Linked DNA regions of Rhinolophus ferrumequinum. The protein of the gene in region 1 interacts with the protein of each later gene in a pairwise test. Links are inferred from orthologs where the notes say so. Each region holds a gene or a part of one and is shown in the gene's direction. Other genes may lie near its edges.

Region 1 (7,367 bases):
CAATCTGCACTGCAAGAAATACTAAAGAAGGCTATTCGACCACCATCAACAGGGACAACGTGTGCCAACCAAAACATGAAAAGGGGGAGAGTAAAGGCCTGAACTGGAACATGGGAATGGAGAAAGTATGCATGCTGAAGAAAGTGGAATACTCTAAATATCAAACTTTCTTTTACATAAATTTAAGGGTAACCACTCAAAAAAAATCCAGAACTATAATATATACTGTAATAAAAGAAGAAACAGAGGGAAGCATCATAGAATATCACCACACAGAAATAAAAGACAACAATAAAAAAGCGAAGAAACAATGGAGAAACATTCTTACCAGAAAACTGAAGGTAAAATAATAGGAAATCCTCACATATCAATAATCACCCTAAATGTAAATGGACTGAACTCACAAATAAAAAGCCACAAAATAGCAGATTGGATCACAAAACTAAGCCCAACCATATGCTGTCTCCAAGAGACACATCTCACGTACAAGGACAAGTGTAGACTCAAAGTGAAACAGTGGAACTTGACACTCCAAGCAAATGGTATCCAGAGAACATCAGGTGTAGCTAAAGTTATATCAGATGAAACAGACTTCGAGGTGAAAAAGGTAACAAGAGACAAAGATGAACATTTCATAATGGTAAAGGGGATTACACAACAAGAAGACATAACAGTCATCAATATTTATGCCCCCAATCAGGGAGCACTGAAATATACCAAACAACTACTAACAGAAATAAAGGGAGAAATTGACCAAGACACAATTATACTGGGGGACCTAAATACATCATTGACAGCTATGGATAGATCATCCAAACAGAAAATAAATAACAAAATAGCAGTCCTAAAATGGCACATTAGATCAAATAGACATAATTGACATATATAGAGTACTTCACCCTAAAACATCAGATTATACGTTTTTTTCTAGTGTACATGGAACATTCTCAAGGATGGACCATATATTGGGACATAAAACTAGCCTCAGCAAATTTAAGAAGATTGAAATCATACCAAGCATATTCTCTGATCACAAGGCTTTGAAATTGGATGTCAACTGCAAAAAGAAAGCAGGAAAAAACACAAAAACATGGAGATTAAACAACATATTTTCTTTTATTTGTTGTTTTTGGTTTTTTTTTGTTTTGTTTTTTAATTTATTGGGGTGACAATTTTTAGTACAATTACATAGACTTCAGGTGTACAATTCTGCATTACATCATCTATAAATCCCATTGTGTGTTCACCACCCAGAGTCAGTTCTCCTTCCTTCACCATATATTTGACCGCTTTACCCTCATCTACCACTCCCCTCCCCTCTTACCCTCTGGCAACCACTAAACTATTATGTAACTTTACTAACAATTGTCATCCCAATAAACTTTAATTTTAAAAAATCATATGATTATATCAATTGATGCAGAAAAAAAATTTGACAAGATACAACATCCATTTATGATTAAAACACTTAATAAAATAGGTATAGAAGGAAAAAACATTAACGAATAAAGGCCATATGTGACAAACCCTCAGTTAATCTCATAATTAACACTGAAAAACTGAAGCCCATTGCTCTACGTTCAGGAACACGACAGGGCTGTCCCCTATCACCTCTGCTTTTCAACATAGTGTTGGAAGTCCTTGCTAGAGCAATCAGGCAAGAGAAAGAAATAAAAGGCATCCAAATTGGGAATGAAGAAGTTAAATTGTCACTCTTTGCAGATGACATGGTGCTATATATAGAAAACCCTAAAGACTCCACCAAAAAGCTATTAGAAACAATCAACGAATACAGTAAAGTTGCTGGCTACAAAATCAACGTACAAAAGTCCATTGCATTCCTATATACTAACAATGAAATCTCAGAAAAATAAGTTAAAAAAATTTCTTTTGGAATTGCAGCAAAAAGAATAAAATACCTAGGAATAAACTGAACCAAGGATGTGAAAGATCTATATGCTGTAAACCATAAAACATTTTTAAAGAAATTGAAGAACACACAAAGAAATGGAAAGACATTGCGTGCTCATGGATTGGAAGAATCAACATAGTTAAAATGGCCATAATACCCAAAGCAATATACAGATTTCATGTGATCCCCATAAAAATCCCAATGACATTTTTTAAAGAAATAAAACAAAAAATCTTCAGATTTGTTTGGAACCACAAAAGACCCCAAATAGCCAAAGGAATCTTAAGAAAAAGAACAATGCTGAAGGTGTTACACTCCACGACTTTAGCTTGTACTACAGGGCAACAGTAATCAAAACAGCATGGTATTGGCAGAAAAACAGACACATAGACCAATGGAATAGAATTGAGAACCCAGAAATAAACCACATAAATACGGACAGATAATTTATGACAAAGAAGTAAAAAACATACAATGGAGAAAACACAGCCTCTTCAATAAATGGTGCTTGCGGAATTGGAAAGCCACGTGTAAAAGAATGAAACTGGACTGTTATCTGTCACCATGTACCAAAATTAATTCAAAATGGATCAAAGACTTAAGCATAAGACCTGAAACAATCAACTGCACTGAAGAAAACATAGATACTAAACTTACGGATCTTCGGTTCAAAGAGTATTTTATGAATTTGAGTCCAAAGGCAAGAAAGTAAAAGTTAAATAAGTGAATGGGACTATATCAAACTTAAAAGCTTCTGCACAGCAAAAGCAACCATTGACAAAATAAAGAGGCAACCAACTGAATGGGAGATGATTTTTGCAAACAGTGCCTCCGATAAGGGGCTAATATCAAAAATATACAAGGAACTCATGCAATTCACAACAAAAAAACAAACAACCCAATTGAAAAATGGCCAGAGGACCTGAAGAGACATCTCTCCAGAGAGGACATACAAATGGCAAATAGACATATGAAAAAATGCTCAACATCACTAATCATCAGAGAAATGCAAATAAAAACCACAATGAGATATCACCTCACCCCAGTCAGAATGGCTATCATCAAGAAGAGAAATAGTAACAAGTGTTGGAGAGGCTGTGGAGAAAAAGGAACCCTCATACACTGTTGGTGTGAATGCAGACTGGTGCAGCCAATGTTCATGGCATCTTTATTTACGGTGGCCAAGAAACGGAAATAACCAAAATGTCCTTCGATAGATGAATGGATAAAATAGTGGTGGTATATATACACACAATGGAATACTATTCCGTGGTAAGAAAAGATGAAATAGGACCATTTGTGACAACATGGATGGATCCTGAGTGTATAATGCTAAGCGAAATAAGTCAGACAGAAAAAGCAAAGAAGCATATGATTTCACTGATATGTGGTATATAAACCAAAAACAACAAAAGAACAAGACAAACAAATGAGAAACAATAACTCAATAGACACAGACAATAGTTTAGTGGTTACCAGAGGGTAAGGGGGGAGGGGGGTGTTAGATGAGGGTAAAGGGGATCAAATATATGGTGATGGAAGGAGAACTGAATGTGGGTGGTGGACACACAATGGGATTTATAGATTATGTAATACAGAATTGTACACTTGAAATCTATGTAACTTTACTAACAATTGTCACCCCAATAAACTTTAATTTAAAAAAAAAATAAGAAGGAAACTTAAAGTCTCTTAGGAAAGAAATCTTGGCCTGTATCAAAAATAACCACAAAAGAGAAGGACTGGAGTCCTGATTTTGAGCAGAATTGGTTTTTGTAGGTAGTGGCAGCACGTAATTCAATATTGAACTTTTAACCAGAGAAAGGATTATTCTCATTATTGTACTGAAACTTTTTTTAAGCTGTCATTTTCTTCATTTTTTTTCCTTTGGTGGGGGGTGTGGAAGTATCCAAGAATGTTTTCTAAATGAGTTCCCATTTATTTATTTGGAATTTTGAGTCTGGCATGTAACTCTTTGGATACCATTCCAAGACAAAAATGATTCAGATTTAAGATTTTTTTTTCAAAAAGTTGAAATCAAAGTATGCTACTAATAAAAATTAACTTTATTTCCTAAAATGGTATGCCAGAAAACAGTGACCCGGTATGGTAAATATGAAACTGCAGACATTCAAGAATTAAGGGACTAAAGGCACGGGAGGTATTTAAAAAGCTGAATCACAAGGACAGGTGACAGATTGGATAGGTGGGGTTTGACAGAGATACTGCAGAGTGCTAGGATTTGAAAAAAGTTGACTGATTTCCAGCCGGTTTACATCTCTATCCAGGTTCTGATCTGGTGAGAGAACCAATGAGATAAAGTCTTGCAAGAGCTTGCTAGAGAGGCACAGGAAGCTGCCTGGAGTGAAAGTGCGGGGGTGGGGGTGGGGGGTGAGGGGTGAAGGGTGAGGGGTGGGGGTTGGGTGGGTGGCAGCAGAAGCTAAAGCTTCCGCCAAACAAAAGAAAATACCACTTCCGGTCATACAGTAGACGCGTCGCTGGCTTTCTTCATCAAGGTGAGTGTAAAGAAAGGGACTGGTAATTCTCACAGTGAATGCTCAAACATGCCAAGGAAGCTTTCCTCCTTGCTTCAACATGGGGTGGAAAGAAGAATTCATCCCCACAGTATGGAGGATATTCCTGATGGTTGTGGTTCTGATTGTCTCACTATCTCCTCTCTTAATCCTCCGGAGATGGCAGGCCGTTATCCCCTCCCTCTTCTGACTTTTGTGGTACTTTTATCCCTCGTCACTCTTCACATCTCCTCTTTATCCTGGATCCTCTTCCAGATCTTTCTGAGCCTAGTTCATTCCCTGTACCACAGATTTTTCCTATCTCTTACTCCTACCTTCTACTCAGTCCCCTTTAAGCCTCAGAACTTTTGCAACCCCCTTCCCCCACTCTGAACCTACAGTCTTCCCTTTTTCCCCTTCTGACCCAGTATTTTATCCCATTGAAGGCTTCTGGTCTCTCCTGAATCTGCCCTGCAGAGGTAAGTGAATTACATACTGTAGAAATTGGGTGTGATTTCAATTTCAAGGTCAAGAGTATTTTCTTTTAAAAAATACGCAAAGAAACAGATTTTAGAGCCCTAAGAGACAAAGGGGAGGTGTTCAAATTATTACGTCCTTTTATTTATATTTTTACTCTAAAAAAACACACATCAGATATTGCACTGGTTTCAGTTGTCTAGTCATGACTTTTTAAAAAAAATGTAAAATTTTGGCATAGAACTGAATCCCCAAATTTTTATGGTATTGCAAACATAGCGTGTTTTGCCTAAAACCTGGTGTCAGCTTTAGAAGATGGAAGATTTCCCACCCCTTTTATAACCTCTCATAGAGCAAAAAGGTTGACAGATATGACATCCAATTACACATGTATTATTTCATGAGTCGGGTTTATTATGCAAATCCTTTTCTGGTCTCTGGTAGTAACATTGAACAGCAAACTGGAAGAGTTTTCAAGTATTTTTTTCCCCAAGAGTTTTGCAAGTATTATCTGTTTTGTTGCATTGTGAGCTGTCTTTTTTCCCCATTTGTTGCAATGTGAAATGTATTTTTCTGTTTCCTTAACCATGTGTAATTTATCTGATGAGAACCCTAGTTAATAATCACAGTTTATTATTTCAATTCTTTACCCAAGAGAAGGGAAATGATCATTAAATTTATAATGATGTTCAGGGTTTTTTCAGGCTCTAAAGGAGAATTGAACCAAGAATCTCCTTGAACAAGCATTTATTCCTCCTCTTCTAACTAGTGTGTTATGTTTGCCAAAATAAGAGGTGATTCTTTTTTCTAGGCCAGGTATAGTTTTCAATTCCTTTAGAATAAACAATGAGGCAGAGATTTTATGACGCCAAAACACTTAGGAACTTTTTCAAAGGGTATTGCTGATGTCTCTTTATTCTCTATTGAAGTCATAATTATACAGTTTTAGATATCATCACATTGGCTGCAACCCACTGTGCATGCATCCATCTATTCATTCAGTAATTTTTTTATTGAATAACTTTTATGTGTCAGACAGTGTTCTAAGCATTGAGGCTACAACAGTGGAAAATAAAAACAAAAATACCCCATAAATTTGGGAAAGTTTTGTTTTCATTTGTTTCAAGGTAGTTTTTGATTTCCTGGTTTTATTTTCTCTTTGACCTATTGGTTGTTTAGTAGCATGTTGTTTAGTCTCTACATATTTGTGTGTGTGTTTCCAGTTTTCTTCCTTTACAATTTATTTCTAGCTTCATGCGATTGTGGTCAGAAAAGATTTCAGTCTTTAATTTATTGAGGTTTGTTTTGTGGCTTAATATATGATCTATCCTGGAGAATGGGCCCTTGAAAAATCTGTATCCTGCACTTTTTGGATGAAATGTTCTGTAAATGTTTATTAAGTTGATCTTGCCTAATGGGACATTTAAGGCCATTATTTCCTTATTAATTTTCTGTCTGGACGATCTACCATTCATATGGGTGAGGTATTAAAATCCCCTGCTGTATTGTATTACTGTGAATTTCTCCCTTTATGCCCATTAACATTAGCTTTATATATTTAGGTGATCCTATATTGGATGTGTAGATATTTATGATTGTTAAATCCTCTTCTTGGATTGACCCCTGAAAACAAAGTTTTCAAACTATAGCTGAGAGACAGACAATAAATGAATATATATTAAATATGTAATAGGTTGTGATGGGGAGGGGCTGTCCTATTTTAGGTAGGATGGTCAGGAAGGCCTCCTGGTAAGGTGACATTTGAGCAGAAACCTAAAGGAAGTGAGGGCATGAACTATACAGATATTAATGGGAAAACAGGATATGTCTATGCCAGTGTCTCTGCATTTGTTGTTCACTTTGCTTCCTGCACTCCCCACTCCTCCACAGTCACTTTTCTGCATAGTGTTAAGCAACACTCTGCATAATCAACTAATCTAATCCACCCACATAATTTCCTCATATTCTCTTTTTCCTAGTTAGCTTCTTGCTACCATTTAGGTGAAGAGTGAGTTACCAGCCCCAGTAAGAAGACATGTATCTACCTCCATCCTCAGTCTGTTTCTTTGTGGCACACTGTGTGCTATCCTACAGCATATTTACTTACCTCTCTCATTGCTCTTATCACTGTGTGTTCATTATATGTTGCCCATAAATACTTGGTATGGTAAATGGAAATGAATTCAGTGCTTGTGTGTAACAGACAAGCTTTTAAATATAGTTGGCCACCTAGTGTTAAAAACCACCCTCTGAGGTCAGTATTATCATTGTCATTTTACTGATAAAAACAAGACTCAGAGGTGGATAGTAACTTGCTAAATGGTGGTGGAATTCATGGAGTTAGGGTCTGTAAGATACTCATTCCTGGCCTGGTTCTTTCTTTCTATCTGTCTTTCTGTTTATTAATAACAAATAGAAAATATATAGACTATTTTATTTTATTATTTTACAAAACATAATCTGGG
Region 2 (7,960 bases), on another chromosome or scaffold:
TAGCTCCCAACCCCCAAGCCCAGCCAATCTTGAAGCAAAGGGTAGAACATGAGCAACCTTTGGGCCCCTGGGGCGTTGCTGCCGGCAACCCAGCTGTGATTGAGTTCACGACCTACACCCCTTACACTCCCACTGAGTTGCAGGAGCTGGGGAGGTGGTACCGACAGCGCCCTGGAGAGCCAGTCTCGGCTTGGCTACTACGTTTATGGGATGAGGGAGCAGACAACATTCTCTGCTCCCCAGGCGAGATGGAAAAGCTAGCCTTTGTGACAGTGCATCCATCCCTGCGACAAAGGTTACAGAACTGCCATAGGTTGGCCCAAGACCAGGGCAACCACTCTCTGATGGAGTGGCTCACTGCTGCGGTACGCACAGTATGGGGACAGGCTGGCGAGCTGCCAGACACTGTGAGTCAATGGCAGTCATATACGGAACTTACGCAAATCATCCGTGAAATGGGTATGAGACATGCTATTTTCAACTCTAATATGCAGGGGCCGGATGATGAGCTTTTTACAGCCAGCATGAGAGATCTGGTTTTGGATACTGCTCCTGTGTTTTTGGATTCTTGGTCGCCATTCTTATGCCCTATGTGGGGCGACGGACCCATGAAGTTACAACTGCCATAGCCACCCTAGGGGATGTTGAAAGCCAGAGGCGAAGGAAGTTAAGACAGGAGGTCCCAGCAGTTGAGACCTGGAAGCCCAAATCAAAAGTAAAGGGGCGAGGTCGCGGGCCTCAGAGAGTAACACGTGCACAGATGTGGCGTGATCTCATGGCAGCAGGGGTCGATCGGGAGAAAATAGACTGACAACCCAATGCACTCTTGTTGGAACTTTGGAAACAGTTGCATCTGAAACAGCAATTCCAGAGAAGCCTAAAGGAGAAGTCTGGGAAAGCGTGACCCATGTCCCTCCAGGACTTCATGCGGCCGCTTGAGGCCGACTCCTTTCAGCTTGATTAGGGGTGGGACCAAGGTACCTGATCAGAGGGGACGAGCAGGGACCCAGGCCCCACGTGGAACTGTCCATACATTGGTCCCCTTCTAATGTGCAGAGGGTTTTAGCTCTAGTTGACACTGGCGCAGACTGCAGTCTTATTTATGGGAACCCAGAACTGTTTCCCGGACCAGCAATCTGCATTGATGGCTATGGGGGAAAGACTGTGACTGTAAAAGCTGTTTCCTTACCACTGGGTATAGGAAGGCTTCCCCCTCGTACCTACAAGGTTTATGTCTCCCTCGTTCCGGAGTATATTCTAGGGGTGGACGTGCTACATGGCCTCAGCCTACAGACGTCGGTAGGAGTTCTGTTTCCGGATCCGGGTGGTGACAGCGGTGACACGTGGGCATGTTCACCACCCTCCTCAAGTGTTGCCACAGCCCTGGCGTGTGGTTACAGTGCGACAGTACCGCCTGCCAGGAGGGCAGGAGGAGATTGGTCATACAATATTGAAATTGGAGAAGGCACATATTGTGAGGCCAATGCACAGTCCTTTTAACTCCCCAGTATGGGGAGTCAAGAAGCCAGATGGGACCTGGTGAATGACTGTGGACTATAGGGAGTTAAATAAGGTGACACCACCTTTGCACGCGGCAGTGCCTTCAATTCAGGATTTGATGGATTGTCTGACTGCCTTGGAACTTATCACTATGTAGTGGACTTGGCCAATACTTTTTTCTACACTTGTCGCATAGATTATGAGGCGAGACCCTGGAGGGGTGAAGTGTGGGGAGAGAGTCCCAGAGAGCAGTTTCCAGGTTCTCGGCCTCACGTGGGGAGGTGCTGGCTCGGGTAATGAATGACCATCAACTGTGATTGGTTGGCCATCGGCTGTAACCAATCAGACAATTGGCTACTGAGGTAACTGCGGACTTCGTTGATTGGTTGGTTGGCAGGCAGAGAAGTGAATGGTGGACTGTGGATCATGTGGCTACTACTGCGTGTGTCTTGCCCAGCCTCAAGTAAGACTATAGTATTATGACTCCCTTACCTATGGCTCCGTGCGTGTTCCTTTTTGGCCTAGCCACATCCTGCGTTCTTATGTGGGGAGCGGGAGCTGAGACCCCGCAGGCCACCCTGCATGACAAATGGCACAGCGAGCAGGGACTGCTGCATGACACAGCCCAAATAAAAAGTATCTTATGATACTAAGAGTTGGCATTATCTTGTACAGCTAAAAATTTGCATAATCTACCATTCAGCGATCCATGTATTAGCATATAACCAAGAGATATTCTCATATAAGAGACATATACAAGCACACAGCAGAAACTGGAAATAACCTAAATATACTTTGGTAGGAGACTTGAAAAAAAAAATTGTAGTATATTCTCCCAGAGGAACATGATTCAGCTATGAAAATAAGTGAAGTCCAGCTGCATGTAAAAACATAGATGTATCTTACTTAGTAACATAATAAATATTATGTATAAATATTATATCCCAGAAAATCATAGATGGTACTCTATATAGTGTCCATAAACAAGTAAAACTGAACAACATATTTCATATATATATATATATATGAAATATGTTGTTCAGTTTGTTCAGTTTAATCCTATATATATAAATATAAATCTATAGTTTAATCCTATATGTACATATAGGATATGTACATATAGGATATATTTATATACATATAGGATATGTTTAATCCTACATATACATATACATATATGTATATGTATGTATATGTATATGTAGGATTAAACAATAGATTAAAAAAACAACAAAAAAACCAAGGGAATGCAGAACACAAAATTCAGGAAAGAGGCAAGGGTACTGACTATGTGGGGAGCAGCACATAGGACGTAATTTCCTGGCGATGTTCTAATCCTTGGGTTGGGTGGTGAATTGCAGCTGTTCATTATGCTCTTAAATTAATTTTAAAAATGTAATTGTTATATAGGATCAGGAACACGAAGGGCCACTGAAATTTTTGTGGACAATTTAGTATTAAGCTGAAATAGAAAATAGGCAGGATATGATTTTGGTTATTAAGTTATTTATAATTTAAAGGGGGCAATTTGACAAACTCAGATGATAATTGTGTGCTTTTCTATACATACTCTCCTATGACATGTAAACAAACCCAAATGTCCTCAATTTCATGCCCGATCACAATATTGTAAGCCTACATCCAGCTGGATAAGCAGGAGGTACAATCTTTTATAAAGTTTTTTATTAAAAAATTTAAAATGTATATTTCTAGAGAATCCTGGGGAAATGCTTTAATGTTGCAGTGTTTTCCTTCTTGTCCCATGTCACCTGAGCCTCTGATCTGTCTTCCAATTAATGTTTTACTCTCTGGTTTCACTTCTTGCCTCAGACAAATCCTGCTTCTGCTTTCACCTGAAGAATCATCACTATCCCTTCTCTCCTTCTCTAGTGGAAGGGGACAAGTTTTAACTCAACAAGACTTCACTAATTGGGGATGAAGTATAGACTTCACTAATTGGGGATTAAGTATGAGAAAATTATAACATAACGAACCTTAAGCTGCTTTCAGAGTGCACAAGCCCCAATTCCTCCCCAAGGACACCCATGGGTGCCTCTCTTCCTAGCTTCCAGCTGGCCCCAGTATAACAGGGACCCGTTTATTTCTCCTCAGTGGCAGGACTCTTGAGTGTGTGCCCCTTTCCTGGGAACTTAGAGAGAGGAAATTCTTTCCCCTCATTCCAGGCTAGGGTTTATTCCCTTAATTTCCTGCCCCAGGAAACCTCTTTTTAGGAAGATTGAGAATGATATAGTTATTTTCCTTCGGGGAATATTTTACCTCTGCCAATTTTTGAGTGTTTTTATCCAATCTCAAACCAACTCAAAGACATCAGAATACCATAATTGGACAGCAATTTACTTCCCCAAACCTGGATTACTCAATTCTAAATAACAAGCAATGAACAATTTTGGGAGAAAATCAGGAACTTTTTCCATTCCTTCTAGCCCTTCGCTCCCCAATTCCTGCAACCAATTGCTCAAAGAGCAATACAGAGTGTTGTAAAATACAATTCAGAGGCTAAAAGCATTCTAACCTCACATATTTCCCTCTCAAAAAGATTTGTTCAGAGACTCATGACTGCAAAAAGATCACACTATTTATGGTATTAAAAGAACATGAACCTAATTCAATTTACCCCAGGCCTTTCTTTCTGTTGAACAACTATGGGCCAGATTAATTTGAATTGTTTTTTGCTTAGTCTCTGTCTTATAAGACAAAAGTTGCTTGCAACTTTTAAAGTAGCGCTCCCTACCCCCAAATTTCACCTCCCCCCAAAAAAATGTAGGGTTCAGTCTGAGTCAGGGCACTTTTTACATACACACACGTATTCAAAACAAATGTTTTAGGTAAGAGAGAGGAGTATGTAGTGCACACTCGAATACCTTATCTTCCAAAAAGGCTTCTAGGATACTTCATCAGCCTTTATTTCCCAGCCTTTACCCATTCATAGGTTTGTCCTGTCACGTAAACGCCATTGTAAACTTGCTCACAAACCGATTCATCCTCATAGTGCTCGGCAAGGAGTAGGCGTCCAAAAATGAATGAATGAGTTTGTAGAAAAGCGGGAAAAAGTTTAGTTTTTTTTCGAGATATGACGAAGAGAACTACAAGGGTCACAAAACAACAAGACGCAAACTTGGATACATGCCCACTTTCAATCGGCTCTCAAATAGATTCCAGAACAGTAAACTATGCTCCGCCCACGAACGAGAGACGTGAAATAGTGTACACGCTTTCAGAAAAACCGGAAGTTCCTGGTCATGCCGCGCGCACGCGTGCATGCGTTCAGCTCGCACTTACTACACTTGTTCCTCCAGTGACAGAGCAGAGACTCCGGTCGACGTCGGCCCGGAACTTGCCCGCCCCGCGCCCCCCGGCGTTGCGCATGCGTGCTGGGGTGGCCTGCTCGCTGTGAGGCGGGGCGAAAGGACAGATTTTTTTTTTTCTTGCTCCCGCCCCTCTTCTTCCCCCACCTGCCACGTACTGGGCCCAAGCTCTCGCTAGGCTTAGTGGGTCTGTGCGATTGGCTGGGTCCCTCGCGAGCCTACGAGGGAAGTGCGGCGGCTGCGGAGGGCAGCCGAGTGGGCCGTGACCGTACCCTCTCTACGACGCCCCCAAGCCCGGCAGCCTTGCACCAGTCCGGCCAGCGGAGACCTGTGGAGAGGCGGCAGCAGCGGCCTCGGCAAGCCGGTATGGCCGCTGGAGACGGGGGCGCGGCCGCTCTCAGACAAGGCGGCCAGGAGACAAGGAAGCGCTGGGAGGGCCTCGCTCGAACCGGCGGGCGCCGGGCATAGGGGGCCAGAGGGGCCGTGAGAGGGGGCTGGAGGCCCGAAGGAGGGAGGCCGGGTGGGACCTCGCCTAGGGGAGGAGAGGCCACAGCGGGGAGAGGAAGGGCATCACACAGGCCACGGAGGCGGGTGGGCTTTGGGGGTGGTTGGACCATCACGCGCTCTCGCGCTTATTCCGCCTGGCTCCAAGGGGTCGGAATGCTGGACGGAGAGGAGAGGTGATCGGGGAGGCCTTGGGCGCCTAACCGCCATAGGGTCTTGCAAGGGTGAGAGGGCGGAGAATGGCGCCAATAGGAGTAAATTGATTGGGGTCACTTCAGGGGAACCTCGTTCCTTGGCTATGTCAGTGCTTTATCAAGCGCCGTCTGCAGACCCAACCCAGTTTTGTAGTGAGGATGATAGCTAACTCTTAGAGTTTACTAGGCACTGTACAAAGTATTTTAGATGCATGATCTTATTTAATTATTCTAAGGCTCCTTCCAAATTTAAATATTATTCCCATTTTGCGTTTGATGCCTAAGGACACGTGACTAGTAGTGGGAATCTTTACGGTCTTAACACATTGCCTTTGGTTAGGCAGAATCGGAGGCTCCTTGTATTCTTTGGAATAAGCAGGGGTTGATTTTGCTTAGAATTTCTTAAAGGAAATTGCTACCTTCCTGACGTGCCCAATCACACCCCTGTGATTTTGAGCAGGGACCTACCCACAGGGTTAATCTAGCTGGAGGTTTGGCCACAACCTAGATCCTGGTTCAGGATGCAGGCTTCTTATGTGTCCTTGGGCATGTCACTTTATTCTCTAGTGCTGAGAACAGTGTTCCTATTGGAAGATTTCCTTAGTGGCTGTGTCATTTCTGGACTTTAGAGGGAGTGAGGCAAGGACAAGATGGGAGGAGAAACTGCTGTAAGGATCTCACCAGCACTCCTGGTAACTAGTAGTTAGAGAAACAGAGGCCCTGAATTTTACTATTACATTGTATAAAACAATGGGGATGGATGGGATTTCCCCTGGAAGGGAAAATTCTGTGGTACGATTCGTTTTCTGATATTTGTGCATGCCTTGAGGAGATAACTGCACAAACTGAGGACAGCCTTTGGAAAGAAGCCCTGGTTCCTCGCCCCAGGGAATTGAGTCAATGGGAAATGCTAAAGAATAAGTGAGTTTGCAGGCAAACATGCCGATACGAAGTGAAAGAGACTCAGACTCGTGTTTTCAGATCCATTGGTGAGCAACAATCCTTCCACAATCAAAAAGACATACATACTATCAGTAATATTCGATGTTGGAAATTTCTTTTAGGAGTATGTTGGCTTTCGGGAGTCACTTCTAGCTTATAAAGAAGGTACATTGTGAAGGTCTGACTTAGGAACTGACTAGATAGTACAGCTTTCTTCTCCCAGTTGGTTTATCAGAACTTTATTATTCCTCATTCATCTCTTGTTCAAGGAACAAAAAACAAGTCCTTGCTTGCTATATGTCAGGCTCTATTCTCAGTGTTGCTGAGAGTAGATAGTACCATTTTGCTGAAGCTAAGCCTTGGTCCTTAACTACTTTATTGCTGATTTACACAACCTGTAGATAGTAGAAGGTGACACTGATTGACCGGAGTTCTTTATTACTCTCAGACTGCAAGGCAAACAAGGTGGAATCTTCATCATCTTGTTGAAGTAATTATACTTCAGAGCTTGGCATAAGTACGTATTCAGTAAATTTTTCCTGAATAAAGGTCAGGATAGATTAAAGGTGAAGAGGTTGTATGGAAGTTTAAGTTAATCACAGCCTTCATGAGAAGTCCGTTGTGAGAATTTGCAAATAAAAACCCTGACTATTCTTATTTTACATGAAGGCGAGCACAGCATCCAGGTTATGGAGCACAATCCATTCTGTTATGAACTGACTTTAGAGTGTTAGATTCAGTGTTTATTGCCCCATTTATTGATAAAATGTAATCTGTTCAGAGGATGGGGAAGGGGATTTAGAGGAATAGTTAGTTGGAAGGACGTAGGGCATTTATATGTAATATTTATTAAATGAATTTGGATTCACGAATACTTAAAAGTATTTGAAGGTTCGAGATGTGTTGGGGCAGGTGGGGTGCTTTCACACACACACACACACACAGAGAAGTATGAAAACCAAGTATGATGTTAATGAAATAAATTTAAGAGGAGAAAACAAAGCTGCCAGTAGTAAAGCCTGAGGTTGAAACCAGAATGTGGCCAGTAGGAGATTGTAGGGCACTTGACACAGTGTGAAAAGATCATTTGCTTGGGCAGGAGGAGGAAGTTGATGCTAGGGAAATGCTCAGTGGTTATAGATAATGTATTCAAGAACATCTTGGCCTTGAAAAGGAGGTCTTGAGAAAAAGAGATATTAACACATTATTTAATCAAGTATATTCTCTGTTACTATACAGTAACCATTTAAATTACTAGATACCTCAGACATTATTTTGAATTTAGTATTATAAAGTCATTATAAGATAATCATACTGAATAACTTGAAATAAGATTACAGTAAAACCTAAGAAGGGAAAATTCTATAGCAGATTGGTATTTAATGGCTCACTCTCTGCCATTGTCTTCTTTCTTAAAGTGTGCAGGCAAATCATACACATCCACTCAAGTCTGCAGAGGGGTGTGGTATGGAATATGTAGAAACAAGGGTGGAT
Region 3 (7,727 bases), on another chromosome or scaffold:
ATTTTTTCTTTCTTTAATCTCTTTTTTCTTTTCTTACTTTCTTCTTATCTTTGCACATTATCAAAAGTAACAAAGAAATAGGTCTGAGAAACAGTTTTACTTTATTATTTCAATGAAAGAAAAAACACTGCACTAAGAAATAAGAACTCTGTATTCAATCTCTCGGTGCCTCAGTTGCCTAATATATAAAATGGAGACAGAAATTTATTGGTAAAAGCCAAAACCCAGAACAGATTAAATTCCCTTCTACCTCCAAATCTGACAAGGACAGGAAGAGAAATAACATTTGCCATCTAATCAACTACGCACAGAACAGAAACAAACTTCACAATCAATGAACACTAGAAGAAACAAACTCAGAGCTTCAATAATTAGTTCAAAGCCAAACAGCTCATAAGGGATAATGAAAGCAAGAATTTTTTTTTCTTGGATGGTGGGGTGTCCAGTGTATTTCAAAGGCTGGGTTCTTTACATACACAGGTACACAGGATACTAAGAAAATACTAACACTAAAAAGAAGTTGAGCTTGGTTCAAAGAGCCTACTTACTCTCTGTTTTCATGGGCACCCTTTTCTAAACTTTCTCATGGAAGGAACTTTCAAAGAGTTTGTTTTTCTTAAGAAAAACTATTTCCACTTGGAATTAGCACCAAGTTAGTGCAAAATGTAGTACCATGACTTTCAATAAGCAGAGTTTTTGGTTATTTGCTATTATTTCTGAATTCTAAATCCTAGCTAATAAGAGAGCAATTACCACTGTATACAAAAGGGCGGAGAATATGGAATATTCAATAACATCCCAATACAACATGAGAATCCAATATTTTCCCATATTTAGTCCACCTGCTCATCTATTTTTATGAGCCTTTACATGACTTGGAGCAAGAAACTCAAATCTTTTTACATCTTAATTCTCTCAGCTGCAAAGCAAGAACCTCCAACCTAACACATTTAAAAGAGACCTTCTCCCCGCCTTCAAATCCTCCCCAGTTTTTCCCATTTCAGAAAGTGGCACGCCACCCACCTCCCCACCCAGCTGCTCAAGCTGGAAGGCTAGAAGTCATGAATGATTCCATCTGGTCATTCACCTGCCACCTCCAATTCATCACAAGGCCAGTGGTTTCCATCTCCAAAATATACCTCAAATCTATCCACAGTTTTCCATCAGCCTAAACCAAAAGCTAGGCATCTCCTACCTGGCTATCTGGATTAACACAGGTCTCCGTGTCTACTCTAGCCACTTTCTGGTCCTTTAATTACTTAGCAGTGAGCCTTTTAAAATGTAAATCCAATTATATTTCCCTTTCTGTAAGGTAAACTGGCTTTCTAGTGCTCGTACATTCTACTAAATAAGCCCTTCAAAAGATTTTTTAGAAAATCAACCTCTTACCAGGACTTCAGGGCTATTCATTATCTGGCCCCATACACTTCTCCGGGTTTATCTGGCTTCTCACCAAGCTCCTGGGCTTTTCCAGTTCCAGAAAGTGTCAAACTCTTCACAGCACTTGCTGCCCTCCTCTTAGCCAAGAAAGCACCCAACGTTCCATCATCCTTCAGGTTTCAATGTAAAAATCACGCCCCTATCTCAAACTAAAGTATCCCCCAGTTATTATTGCAGAGAAACCCGATTTTTTTTTCTTTGTAGGACTCTTCACAATTTGTAATCTACATATTTACTGGTGCATTTTCTTATTGTCAATCTAGCCAAGAGACGATAAGCTCCTGAGGGCAGAGATTTTGGGGTTTTCTTCACTCTTATATACCTGCCTCTGGCATAAAGCAGGCCTTCAAACAGCTGATGAAAAGAGGATACTGAGTAACACAGTAAGTCCTCACCTAATACCTTGCATAGGGTGTGCAACTTAAAGTGAAACAATGTAGACACCAACTTTCTGGTAGGCTAACTGACATAAACAAGAGTCAAGTTCTATGTTATCTCATCAACATTATAACAAAATGACACTGAACAAACAATGTTATTCAAGGACCTGCTGTACTGCACGGTAGTTTTTTTCATTCTCTGAGCTAAGGTCAGCTTGTAGGTACTATATACTCAGTGCTTACTATGTGCCATAAAGATCCCCTAATGCTGGGGCCCGCTCCGGTGGCCCAGGCGGTTGGAGCTCCATGCTCCTAACTCCGAAGGCTGCCGGTTGGATTCCCACGTGGGCCAGTGGGCTCTCAACCACAAGGTTGCCGGTTCAACTCCTGCAAGGGATGGTGGGCTCCGCCCCCTACAACTAATTGAACACGGCACCTTGAGCTGAGCTGCAGCTGAGCTCCCAGATGGCTCATTTGGTTGGAGAGCGTCCTCTCAACCACAAGGTTGCCGGTTGGACTCAAGGGATGGTGGGCTGTGCCCCCTGGAGCTGAGCTGCGCCCTCCACAACGAAGACTGAAAGGACAACAACTTGACTTGGAAAAAAGGCCTGGAAGTACACACTGTTCCCCAATAAAGTCCTATTCCCCTTCCCCAATAAAATCTTTAAAAAAAAAAATCCCTAATGCTCACAATTCTGCAATGCAATAGACATTATTTAGCCCATTTAATGTATGAGGAAACTGTGTTTCTCATACAGTTACTTGCCAGAATTGCAGACCAGGTGCATCCACTCCAAAACCTGTGCATTGCCCTACAATGCAGCAGTTCAGGCACACACTTTGATGGGGTCGTTTAAGTGGTCGCCAAGGCTTATATAAATGTAAGACTCCAAAGCAAAACTATATATAAAACCCACACTCACTGATGCAAGATCAAAGAAGAGAATTCACTCTAGTCTGATGGCTTTCCTTCTGAACCCTCTGTCTGCCTTAAAAACGTCATTACGCCCTGTTAAATGCATCTTAGTACAAAGGCAGTTTAAACGGTAAAATCTACACAGGTGAAACCTGAAAGCCACCAATCAATCATAAATAACGCTAATGGTCTCCAATATGCGTTCACGGGCAATATACATCCTTTACCAGGATACTTTTCTTACACAGATTTCCTTCACTACCTCTTACCTACAGTTAAAAGTAAATGACATACTTAACATTAACTGTAGACCATTGCACCTCCACATGAGTTTTCTGACAGGTAAACACCAATCCACTTTATTATTTTAAAAAAGAAACAAAACCGTCTATCTTCATATTTCACACATTTTAGGCACGAGCGTCTTAGGAAAGGAGTCCCTTCGAGTGACTTCAGTACTTAATTCAGAAATACCCACTCCGATTTCCTAATACTGGACATTAGAGGATTAAAAACTTCATTAAAAGCATTTGTAAAAGGTTATTTTCTTACTTCTAAGAAGCCCTTGCTTGCAGAAGTCTTAAGCAAAACACATGCCGTCTTTGCCCGAGTTAATCAAACACTAAGGTCGTCACAGTTTGGAAGCAGCGAGCCCAGTGGCAGGGATTTCAAGAGCCAGTATCCGATTCTCAGGGCCAGGAGGGCCCGGCGACGGTGGGGACCCGAGGCCCGGCAGGGCCCACTCGCATCTGGGTCTACCCACCGCGGCCCGGACGCTTTTGCCGGACCCCACCTGGAGGTAGGGGGCCGGGACAGGGACCCTCGCCAACGTGAGCCACCCACGGACCTGGACGGTCGCACTCACCTCGGCGCCGGCGGAGCCAGCGCTCCGGGGCGCAGGCTGCGCTGGACCGCAAGCCGGGAGACGCCGGGAGGGAAGGGGCGGGGCGCCGGGCGGGGGGCGGGGCGAGGCTTGGGCGGTGAGGGGCGGGGCGGGGGAGGGAACCCTGTCAACAGAGAGCTGGGCCAGAGAGAGCAGTGGAGAGAAGAACGGAACATCGCGATATTTCCAACCTGTTCTCGCGGTTTCACGATAGGTCGGACGAGAGGCTCGTTTTCCGAGAGATGTGGCCATTGGCCGAGAGCGCTGCTTCCTGCAGGCTGGCCCCTCCCACCTCTCGACGCTCGCTTCCGGCTCCCGCTGGTATCTTGCTGTCAAGACAGTGGTTTTTTGCTGTTTTGCATTTTGAAGGGGTAATTGAGCCGGCTCGCACCTCAGGAACCGTTAGTAACCAATCTCTTCTTCCATTCACACATTCATTCAGACGTCCGTGCTGTCATTCAATGGGTACCTTGAGGCACGACCGCAGTCACACCTGAGCGCTTATTGTGTACCAGGCAGCGTTCTAAGAGCTGTGCACAGTTTACCTAACTTATCCCTCACAGCAATCCCTTGATACAAGTACTATTCTTATACTAAGTTTGACCGGTGAAAAACTGAGGCCCCGTGGGTTTATGTAAAGGGGCCAATAGTGGGCAGGTAGTGAACCCCAGCACAGGTTTAAGGGCTCACTGCGCGTTGATAGGTTCGTTCCAAAGAGGAGGCGGGAACCTAGTCTCTGCTCTTGAAATTCTACCTTTTGTTAGAAAAGATCGCTGAAAAGGATGGTAACCACTTAGTAAGTTAAATATTGGGGCGGTTCCTAGCATGGCTGGGTAGGCCGTGAATGCATATATTTTTCAAGACGGAAATTTCTATGTCAGGGGAAAGAGGCATAAAAGGACGAGAGCTTTATGCTGGGTAAAAAAAAAATAAAAATAAAAATAAAAATAAAAAAAATCAAGCATTGTCAGGGAACGTTAAAAAAAACCCAAAAACTTATTTTTTAAAATGCCTTGTTTTTTTAATATGGCAACTTGCGTTCTGCAATGAGGTTTTTCCATTTTTTTTCCTCTCATGAAACTGCTGTTATTCATTGTTCTTTGAAAAGCTTGATAATGACTAATTTACCAGTGCTTCATTGTCAAGTAACCTTGACTGTGTAGTTTTATATAGTTGGTTTAGTTCATTACTCTTCGAGATGAATAACCTAGAAAGCAGAGTTATGTTAAATAACAATAAAACCTATTCCAAAGCAAGACATGAGCTATAATGAAATGTCAATTATCTATATATTAAATCTGGTCTTCTGAAGTTAATGAAGTATATGGCATGTATTTCTAAGATCCTTTATATAGGTTTCTAAATACCTAAGAATTTGTAGTACTTAGGAATTTTTTGCTAGACTTCAAACAAGGAAACCTACAGTTTGTGTAAAAACAAAAACCTTTAGGGTATTAAAGATCAACCCAAATAAGAAGACTTCCTCCTAATACTGAAGTTACACGCGCTCAAAAAAAAAGATTAACAATAGATAGAACCATTTCTTAGAAAGTAATCAATGTTAGCCTCTTATTTTCATTTCTCTAAAAAGGGAAATATTTTAACGCATTAATTTAACATCCAATAGTTGATCACGTAAAATGAATCATCTTAAAATAACTTCTACACCGCCCCCTCCAAAAAAAAAATTGACAAAAGTAGTAGCCAAGTGATTCTATGGTTATAGTATAATATCCTATGTCTAACTTTAAAGTTCTCTAAATTTGTCGAGGGTCAATTTTCACATTTTGCCTCACCCAAATCAAGGGCGAAGAAATACTCTAAACTAGTGATTTGGCATAATTTAACAAACTTGAACATCAACAGGCAGCAATGCCACTTTAAGAAAAACCAAGAAAAAGTCAACCCCATTTTAAAATTCCCACCTCTGGCTCCCAAGGATTGGGTTATAAACTTCGACAAAATACTCTTCTCCACTCCCTATTGGTGCTTGCTCTGTCATTCATTCTTCTGCCTGGAGTTTTGTGAGGTACCAGCTTACTTTACGGGAAAAGGCTGCTCTTCTTTAGTCTGGAACTACCCTACTTTAGACTTTTTCGTGGTTATCAATCTGTATAAGGAATCGCCACACTGATCAGCGGGACCCAGTCTGGCAAATCAGGCTGTCGAGACAGCTCTGTAAATTCATTGGAAAAAGAAACGGAGAACGTCTCAAGCATACAAGGTAAATGGACAAAGGATTTTACGACACAGAGATGTAAGCATTGCAACTTTCCTGATTTTTCATTCGTTTTGAAGGAGGAAGTGTCAGGGAAAACCAGATAAACTAGGAGCAAAATCTGAGAGGGGCAGAAAGTGGTTTTCAGAGGGTGTTTTCCTCTTTAGGCTGGGGTTGGAAGAACCTTATTCCCAGGTTAGCTGTGGATTTTTGAGTGATAAAGGGAACAAAGTAATAAGATTAATTATAGATTATTTTATACTCTAAGAAGCTGTGGTTTTGTTGTTGTTGTTGTTGTTGCTTTAAAATGGATTTAGAGGGACACTTAATGTTATTGTAATTACCAAGTAAAAAGGATATTTTTTTAAATTAAAGTTTACTGGGGTGACAATTGTTAGTAAAGTTACATAGGTTTCAAGTGCACAATTCTGTATCACATCATCTATGTATCACATTGTGCGTTCACCACCCAGAGTCAGTGCTCCTTCCATCACCATATAGTTGATCCCTTTTACCTTCTAAAAGGGATAAAAAGGATATTTTTGTATACTATCATACCTAGCATAATAGACAATCCATCTGTTAAAAGATATAGGAGAAAATTAGAATCGTCTTTTGTTTCAAATTCTGTGTATATTTGTAGATTACGAGAGCCAGGGACAATCTGCTAATGGCCAAGCAAAACGATATTAGTATATGAATCAGAATCAGTAGGTAATTAATATAATAATCAGTTATCAAAAAATGAAATTCACCACTTATATAGTATTTTCAAAAATGATATGTTCATTAAAACTAAGCTCTATTAATAAAAGTTCAGGAAAATATTGATAAATGAGAATAACATATATTAAAACTTATATTTGAAATAGCAACATAATATTAGGATCTTGCCCAATATATAATTCCAAAATATGGCATTGTAAAGATTTAATTAGTAAATATAATACCTAGTAGCATATCTAAACCTCTACAAGGCTAACTCATAGTAGGTATGCAATAAATATTTCTTTAGGTGCCTCTGTTAATCCATATAGGGGGATATAAAATAATAAAATACAGTCTCTCAAGAAGCTCATACTCTAGTTAGGGGAATGAGACTCAAAACATTTAAAACATCCAGACAGTTCTTTATGCATAGATGACTATTATAGATCGTAAGTACTTCAGGTACTTAGATCAGTATGAGTTGAAATATTCAGGGAACGCTTCACAGTAGGATTGGGGCCTGAGCAATTGTGGGCCTGAGCAATGTGCAAAGTTTCAGTCGATAGAAAAGAAAGGAAGTGGCATCCTAGGTAATGAAATTGCAATAAGTAATATGCAGCCTAGAGAATAACTGGCTCTGGCTGCAGCAGAAGGTTCATTTGGGGGACTTGGTTTTAAAAAAAAAAAAAAGCACGAGAAGTTGCATGAAGAGTCAAAATTGCCAGAGTTAAGGAGTTTGGCCCTAGGATTTGAACAGGACGGAGACCTTATGAAAGTAATATTTGAAAAAGATAAAACTGACATCGCAATTTAAGATAGCTCCCAGAGCAGAGACTGGAAGGGAAGACGTTAAATGCTATGAATAATGAAGTAAGGATTAATAGCAGCCTTTTAAGACATTTTATCCAAATGCCTTTTATAAAATTCACTTGGTTGAATAACATAACTCTTACACATTTCTTTCTAAAGCATAGAGCTCATTTGTTGTTTAGCACTTAGTACAAATACAAACCATATTAGATGTGACAGCAGTTGTGATTCAATCAAAACAGTAAAAGTGATTATTGTTCCCATTGTATCAGTTCTTGCTTCTTTTCCTTCAGGATTTAAGTGTATCTCTTGGTGCTATTTAATTAAATTGAAGAATTTCAACAAACAACAACAACAAAACCCTTATAACGG
Region 4 (7,783 bases), on another chromosome or scaffold:
GGAATTATGGCAGCCAGCTTTGGAGAAAACCACGGTGCTCACATTATTCTGTGAATTGGTTTGCCATCTTGCACAGCAGGCATTCCTGCATCTCCTGCACCCAGCCGCATGCTGTGGGCAGAGTGAGGTGTCCCCGTTGCTGTGGGAACTGCAGCATGAGTGTGGCCACGGGGTGATCCTAATTGGGCCACTGCATCTTCTCTTCATGTCAAAAAGGGCTCAGTACATTTCTAGAATTGTTCTGTCAACACAACGTGCTTATCTAAGCATTATCATTTACTTTGTATTTTATTTCATGTCATGAGATTATTTTGAATTATGTTTTAAAAAAATCTTTAAAACATAGACATACTATTTAAATGTGTCATTTTGCACTTTTATTTACACCATAGAAAACCTTCTATTAACATCATAGAAAAAAAAAATCTTGGTCAAAAGGTGAACTCACACTGGCTTCTATATTTGAGTTTTTGTTGTTTGTTTTTCACTTTGATTGGCATGTCTTCTTACCTCCTGTCCTCCACTCTTCTGTGGGCAAAAGAGCACTTAGTTATCTGGCAGGACCCAGCTACATGTCACTTCCTTTATGAAGCCCCTGTTGACACACCTGCCACCAAGTAAACTTGACCACTCCCTTCATGTGTGTTGTGGCCCCTGTATCCTGAAAGCCTCTGCCTTAGTTATCAGAACTTTTATTGCGCTAGTATTTATAAAGGCTAACCAGATTACTGTACGGCTGGTGGCACAGGGCAACTACTTCCTAAGTGCCTCCCATGGGCTCGGTGGGGGGTACAAAGAGGACGAGATGAACCCCTAGCTCCCAGGGAGCTCACTGTCTATTGGACAGGGTCATAAAGACATATTTAAAACACAATCTTAATTTCAGGGCTAGAGATCTGTACAGAGTATCATGGAAGCTTTAAACCACTCGAGTAGGGATTTCACTTGGCAAATGCGAGGAAGGCTCCTTAGAGAAGGGAGTTTTGGGAGTCATCAATAGTGATCTCAAACATCCCAACCTCAGCTGCTGTCATTTTCGTGCTGCAGTAGGTATAGGGCTCCAGGCATAAAGGGTGTGATCGGAGAGAAGTGAAGAGAGCGATGGCCCATGCCTGCTTAGAGGAGACTGGGACTTTCTATGGAAACGGGCTTTCTCACTGAGTGGTGAGGTCGTGAGGGTCCTGGTTAGGACCAGCGCTTCTAAGAAATTTGCAAGGTGTTGATAAGGGCACTGTTTTAGACTGTTTAGTCTCCTTGCAGGCCAGAGAGGTAAAAAGACATGCAAAAAAGCAGTTCAGCAAATAAAGATTACTCTTGAGCTCACCTTTACCTGATGGGCTATTGTAACAGTCAGCTTTGGGTTAGGCCACTATAACAAACAACCCCCAAATCTCAGTGGCTTGTAAAACAAAGGCTTCTTTCTCACTGAATAACTTGTTGACTTCTGGTTGTCTGCACTCTCATCTGTGGGTCCTCTTCATTCCAGGATCTAGACTGAAGGAGCAGTGCCTTTCTTGGACTCGGTAATTTGGGGGCAGAGGGACAACAATGATGGTGGAACCACATGGTAATTACTAAAGCTTCTATGAGGAAGTGGTACATGCGCTTCTACTCAAAGCTGTGAGGTATCACCTCACAGAGCAGAGCAGTGAATGACAAGAGTATAATTTGCCACCGTCCACTCAACCCAACACTAAAAGCTGATGGTTCTGAAGACAGAAGACCAAGAAGAGTTGAAACAAAAGTAGGCTTATAAACACAACTTTAAGCAGACAAAATATAAGACTAATCAGATGAAGAAACAAATATGAACGAATCAGAATGTCTTGCCTTATAAATGAAGATTGAAACTTTCAGCAATCAAAATGTGTATAATGAGGAAAATTTTGATGCCTTTACTGACAAAACAAAAATCAGCCTAGCTAACTAAACGACCAGAGCAGTGTCTTACTTCAGACATGAGCCCACTGAAGCTCACATTTTTTGAGTAACCTGGATTGGTGTTGGCAGGTCACAGAAGGTACTTGGAGGAGAAAATGGATCTACAACGATGACGGCCATTATTCAGCATCATCGCTCAGGCCTAGATTGCTATTCGCTCAATCACTGCCCACGCACATCCCATGCATGTTGTGTAGGTATGCGGAGCTAGGACCAATCTTAATATCTCTTTGTTCCTTTGACATCTAGATTAGCTTGTCCCTTTTAGGTATTTCTATTTATGTTCTCTTAGTACCTATATAAATAGCAATTAGTTATATAGGTGTTATTTTTAATGAATTGTTATACTGATGTGACTTGACCTCAGTTATGCAAACACTGAAAGTGAGTAATACAAAGTTAACTTAAGGAATCAAATATGGTATTAGGCCGAAATGCATTACAATTATACAGAGGGGTGTATGGAGTACTTAAGTTCACATACAGAGGGTGAATATTTTTAGATTCTCTGCTATTAGATTTCGGTGTGCTTGTTCTATTTCATAAATCAAAGAATTGGCCTATATCTTTGATCTGTGTGTTTAGGTTTTATGGTGACAGATACCCTGTAACAGCTAGAAATAGAAATCCATCTTTAGTGATAATATAGTACAGGGACCTGAGAGGAGAAGGTCTTCAGATGCTGTTAATTAGCAGAATTCGGAAGCACACAGTCTCAAAGCAATTAAGGCTGTTAATTGACTATTTGGATGCAGAGTGGAATGGCTCTTATGTTGCTGGACAGGGCACCCTAGGCTTGCAAGGAGGAGTTACATTATACACATGACGTTGAAAAATTAGGAAGGTCAAATACGGGTAAACATGTTTGTCTAGGAGTTAACTGCATTTATGAACGGTGATTCATTGTCGGCTACAGGCAAAATTGTCTGTTAGCTGCAAAATTCATTATTAACAATTCAGTCTTTCAGCCTATCTGCGGTAAACATGGCACACTATTTACTCATGGAAAACGGAGTTTTTTTGCCATGGCGAATTTGCTGTCCTCCGGTTCAAGAAACATCTCTGTAATTCATGTCATCCTTTAAGAGCAGTTGGTGGTCACACATGGCTATGAGGTAGCATCTATGTACATTTTGGGGCCAGAGGGACCTGAGCGTTACTGCTGAGCTCAGGGTGGCAAAATGATTTTATTATGGAACCGCCCATCGGGTCCATTAGCTGCAGCATTTGATTAAGGTGTGAACTTCTTAAAAGAAAGCTTAAAAAAAAATTTCAATGTTGTGAAAAAGTTTTCAGGAAAGGAGAAAGCAATGAAATATTCCTTTTGGAAGAACTTCAGTGAAAAATGGTTAATGTTTGGGGTAGTGTTTATTATTTTTATAGCTATCGCTTTAGGACAGACTTCTGCTTCTGTCAAGCCCAGGGTTCACTAAGGGGCAGGGAAGACAGGCTAGTCACTAAAGAACGCCCAGAAAGCAGTGAGTAAAGAATGCATTTAGTTTTTCTCAGACTGTGGCTCAGTCTGCTCAATGGTGGACTTTCTTGTGTCTGTGTTAAGAGGAAAGAGAAATTACTTGAATTACATGAAATCCACAGGTTATCCTCAAAGCTAAAGTTGACCAACAGTTTTCACCTATTTTGCTGAACATTCTAGAAAGGGGCAGATTGATCCCCCACCCCCTTTCAGTCCCAATCCATTTTCTGGAGAAATTTCTAATAGCCTGTGAAGTGGCTTTAAGAAAAAAAGAAGGGCTGAGCAGGCAGTGGAGCTCAGAACCCCAAATCCTCAAATCGAGCATCTCCGTCCTTATATGAGGAATTAAGCATTGATAAGGGTGGTATGATTTAGAAATCCACTATTCAAACTGCTAACAGACATTTCAGTGAGTGCATAGAGCATATAGAAATAAATTTTACTAAAGATCCAAATCTGAGATTATGCACACAGGCCTTCTAAAAACATGGTGTTAACCCGCTCAAGGGTTATTAGCTAAAGGTTTTAAATAAAAGGCGTTAGAACAGGGGGCTGAAGTCCTTAACACTGGATTGGGCGGCTCGTTTGTGAGGTAACTATGAGAGCTTTTTGGATCAGGAAAGTTCCTGTTTGTTATGCAATGTGTGCATTTCATTATTGACACGATTTCATTAGGCATCAGAGCTGTGTACACAGCTAGCTGCGTCTGTAGCAGCACCCACAGTCTGAAACTAAAACCAAAACACGCTTGCTTTATTGCCTTTCACTACTCTAAACTTTTTCACGGAAAAATTTCCCTAAATTATATTTACTTCTCTAGATGAAAACAATTTTTTTTCTTAAATGTTTTTAGGAACTATAAGTTTCTTGGAAGGTTTTCCATACTCGTTTCTACTGTGTTCCAAGGGCTAATAAAACAACAACAAAACCTCAGTAATAAGGATTCAGAGTGGGGAAACCCTCTTTGTGTGTCTCCCAGCCCTCTCTTCTCCTACCCAAGGCAATCCATCTCTCTCCTCCCAGGTCCCTTTCTTTTGCTATTTCCTGGAGTAAAGATGAAAACAGACAGGTCCGGCCTGGGCCCTGCACACCAGCGTCCGGTGGACACACCCTGGGTGACTCGCGGGGCTCGGGATGGCGGGCGCAGGAGGCCGATCTCCCGCAGTCAGCGCGGGACAGCGGGGTGGGGAGCCCACCCAGCGGTAAGGGTAAGCGGTGTCCGCTCTTTCGCTCGTTTCGGCGCGGTAGCCCCAGGGCCTTTTCCTGGTGTCCTCCCCCTGGGTCCCTCGGCCACCGAACCAAGGGGGCGGATCCTCACGTGCCAGACACGCCCCGGCCGGGTTTATAATTCGCCGGCTCTGGCTCCCGGAGCTGTGGCTTCTCCCGCGCTCCGCTGGGACTCGGGACGCGCTCCCCGCTCCCGCCGCCAGAGAAGTCCCGGCTCGAAGCCCGCCCGCCGGGCGCCCGCTCGTACTCGCACGCGCGCTCACACGCGCGCGCTCACACTCACATTGTCTTTCACCACGCGCGCTCACACTCAAACACGTGCTCTCCCACTTTGCACACGCGCTCACACTCGCACTCGCGTGCTCCCACTTGCACACGTGTGCTCGCTCTCACAAGCGCACTTTCACGCGCTCAGACTCCCACACGCGCGCCACACGCACGAGCGCTCACACTCTCACTCCGGCCCGTTTACCCTGCAGGGGCGCAGGCACCGCCGGCGAGAGCGCCGAGAGGACCCACGACCTTCCCATGGCTGACCTGAGCTTCATCGAAGATTCCGTCGCCTTCCCGGAGAAGGAAGAGGATGAGGAGGAGGAGGAGGAGGGTGTGGAGTGGGGCTACGAAGAAGGTAACCCGCAGCGTGTTGGGGTGGCCGGGGTCCCGGGACAGCGCGTCCGAGGCTACGCGCCGCGTGTGTCGGCGCAGCGCAGGGCTCTGCACGCCGCTGCTCTCGCGCGCTCCGAGCACCGCCGAGTCCCCGCTTTCCCACGTGGGTCTCTGTCGCTTTCCCAGTCCCCGGGTCGGTTTCGGGACAGAAGGCGCTCCAGGGACAGCGGGCGGGCCTGCTGCCTGCTTTAGCGCTGGGGAGCCAGGCTTTCTTGTCCAGGAGCGGCTGGCACCTGCCTCCATGCGGAGGGCGAGCCTGAGACCTGTGGCGGTGACATTTCTGTCTCCTGAGTAGCTGCAAGGAGCAATGTTACATTGTACTCACCACCTTGAGAATACAGTGTTAGCGAAAGTATTACGTTCTTGTTTGCTATGAAGACTTTGACAGAAGTATTTCTGCCTCTACTTTTTCCCCGAAGGATACTAACAAGACTCTTTCCAGACATGTCCTAAATTTCAGGCTCAATCAGTGGGCTTGACTTTTTAAGAAGTTTAGTTTTCTAAATTTATCCCTGAAAATGTAGATCTCTTAGAAGAGTTGACCACAGGTGCTGATATTGACTACATTTATTGAAAAAAATGTAGAATTTGTAGTTTTAACTTAAAAATATGGAAACAGTATTCATGTATGAATACAGATATGTGTATATAGCATATGCACACTTCAAAACATTGTACTTGCATTTCTGATAAGAGGTGTTTAACTCACTTGCTTCAGGTCTGTGGTTTTGGGCTCTCACCAAGCATGTGGGGATTTACAGGTGTTTGCCAAGTACTGCACATAATCGAACTGATGAGTAGAGGACATTTTTGTGGTATTATCTTTTCCCTAATCATTTAAAGATTACCTGAATTTCCTAGCATCATAAATTGCTACATCTATGTGGACCAATAGAGACAGTATTTTGTTAGTCCAGGGTTTTGTATGTGGTATTTAATAACATTATATCATTCAAAATATGAATGCAAAAATCCACACACTGACCACATTTCACCTATAGAGAGAGAGAGAGTAGTCATAACCCTCTTAATAACGTACAGGGTTATAAACAGTGTTTAAACTAGTTTTTACATGATAAATTTTACTGTAACTTTTTTTTTTTTAAACCTGTTATAAATGTGTTTCATCTTGTCCTTAGGTGTAGAGTGGGGCTTGGTGTTTCCTGATGCTAATGGGGAATACCAGTCTCCCATTAACCTGAATTCAAGAGAAGCTAGATATGACCCCTCACTGCTGGATGTCCGCCTCTCGCCAAATTATGTGGTCTGCCGGGACTGTGAAGTCACCAATGATGGACATACCATTCAGGTTATCCTGAAGTCAAAATCAGGTATTTCACGAGATGCTTTTGTGTGTTCTTGTAGATTCAAAGTCACCTGGGAGCCACTGACTCATTTAGCTTATATGACCTTAAAAGTAGAACGAACAGCTCCATTGTCAGGATACCTTTGTATTAGGTTGGTGCAAAAGTAATTGCGGTTTAAAAGGTTAATTGCAAAAACCATAATTACTTTTGCACCAGCCTAAAATATTATAAAACACATTTTTTTAAAAATTGGGGAATGTTGGGAACAGTGTTTTCCTAGGATGTGAAGTTGTTTTTTTTTTTCAGTCCAGTTGAGGCAGGGCAGAGCGCGGCTCCAACTCAAGTCATTGTTTTTAACCTCGTTGTGGAGAGCGCAGCTCACTGGCCCTTGTGGGACTCGAACCCGTGACCTTGGTGTTAGGAGCCCGCACTCTAACCACCGAGCCAACCCGCTGCCTGGCAGAGGCTTAGGGCTCCAACCTCAAGCTGTTGCTTTCAATCTAGTTGTGGACTGCGGAGTTCACTGGCCCGTGTAGGAATAGAACCGGCAACCTTGTTGTTAAGAGCTCCTGATCTAACGGGCTGAGCCATCCGGCTGCCCCTATAAAGTGCATTTTGGGAATTATTTTCTGAAACATTTTTGAAAGGATAAAAGGATGAAATGATGAAGATGTCAGTTTGGTTGTTCAATGTTAGATGATACTCTAACAATCAGTTGGTCAACATAACACTTTGTGGAATTTGTGGAAAGGTATGTGCAGGTGGACCAATCTGCATTTTGTCCTAAATTGTTGATCAGCTTAAATCATGTAGATAATTATACTTCTCTGTTTTACTGCACTGTAAAACTAAGACTAGGATTTATTGACATTATCTGGCATTCAAGATAGACTTTTCAAGTTCATTTTCTCTACTATATTAATATGAGAAGAATTTTAACTAATAGCAATCAAAAACATTCTCTAAACTCAGCACAAGACTGAAATGGCAAACAAAGCTCTTGCTTTAATGAAAAAAAAATTAACTCACCCTCTCCCTCTGAACCTATTTGAGATGGATTTGAAATGTCTTATGGAAACGGTGTTGGGTCATTACTAAGAAATTTTATTTTGGCTTAAGTGTAATGAAGAGGAAAGCAGAATTAAAAAAATTAGCATTAATATTATGC

What was found.
Region 2: the proteins of MAGED1 (region 1) and TFG interact in binary tests that used the Homo sapiens proteins (3 or more experiments, as listed by UniProt). The two-hybrid records come from large-scale screens. The link is inferred for Rhinolophus ferrumequinum from reciprocal best matches to the Homo sapiens genes MAGED1 and TFG.
Region 3: the proteins of MAGED1 (region 1) and TTC23 interact in binary tests that used the Homo sapiens proteins (3 or more experiments, as listed by UniProt). The two-hybrid records come from large-scale screens. The link is inferred for Rhinolophus ferrumequinum from reciprocal best matches to the Homo sapiens genes MAGED1 and TTC23.
Region 4: the proteins of MAGED1 (region 1) and CA8 interact in binary tests that used the Homo sapiens proteins (3 or more experiments, as listed by UniProt). The two-hybrid records come from large-scale screens. The link is inferred for Rhinolophus ferrumequinum from reciprocal best matches to the Homo sapiens genes MAGED1 and CA8.

The regions. Positions count from the first base shown.
Region 1 is NC_046284.1:83,519,910-83,527,276, reverse strand, and holds the start of MAGED1 (melanoma-associated antigen D1), read left to right. Parts: upstream 1-4,357; 5' UTR 4,358-4,428; intron 4,429-7,367. UniProt on the Homo sapiens protein: Involved in the apoptotic response after nerve growth factor (NGF) binding in neuronal cells. Inhibits cell cycle progression, and facilitates NGFR-mediated apoptosis. May act as a regulator of the function of DLX family members.
Region 2 is NC_046285.1:29,837,038-29,844,997, forward strand, and holds the start of TFG (protein TFG), read left to right. Parts: upstream 1-4,940; 5' UTR 4,941-5,190; intron 5,191-6,495; exon of another isoform or gene 6,496-6,513; intron 6,514-7,960. UniProt on the Homo sapiens protein: Plays a role in the normal dynamic function of the endoplasmic reticulum (ER) and its associated microtubules. Required for secretory cargo traffic from the endoplasmic reticulum to the Golgi apparatus.
Region 3 is NC_046311.1:11,647,500-11,655,226, reverse strand, and holds the start of TTC23 (tetratricopeptide repeat protein 23), read left to right. Parts: upstream 1-4,707; 5' UTR 4,708-5,876; intron 5,877-7,727. UniProt on the Homo sapiens protein: Participates positively in the ciliary Hedgehog (Hh) signaling.
Region 4 is NC_046297.1:18,632,825-18,640,607, forward strand, and holds the start of CA8 (carbonic anhydrase-related protein), read left to right. Parts: upstream 1-4,763; 5' UTR 4,764-5,170; coding exon 5,171-5,270; intron 5,271-6,447; coding exon 6,448-6,639; intron 6,640-7,783. UniProt on the Homo sapiens protein: Does not have a carbonic anhydrase catalytic activity.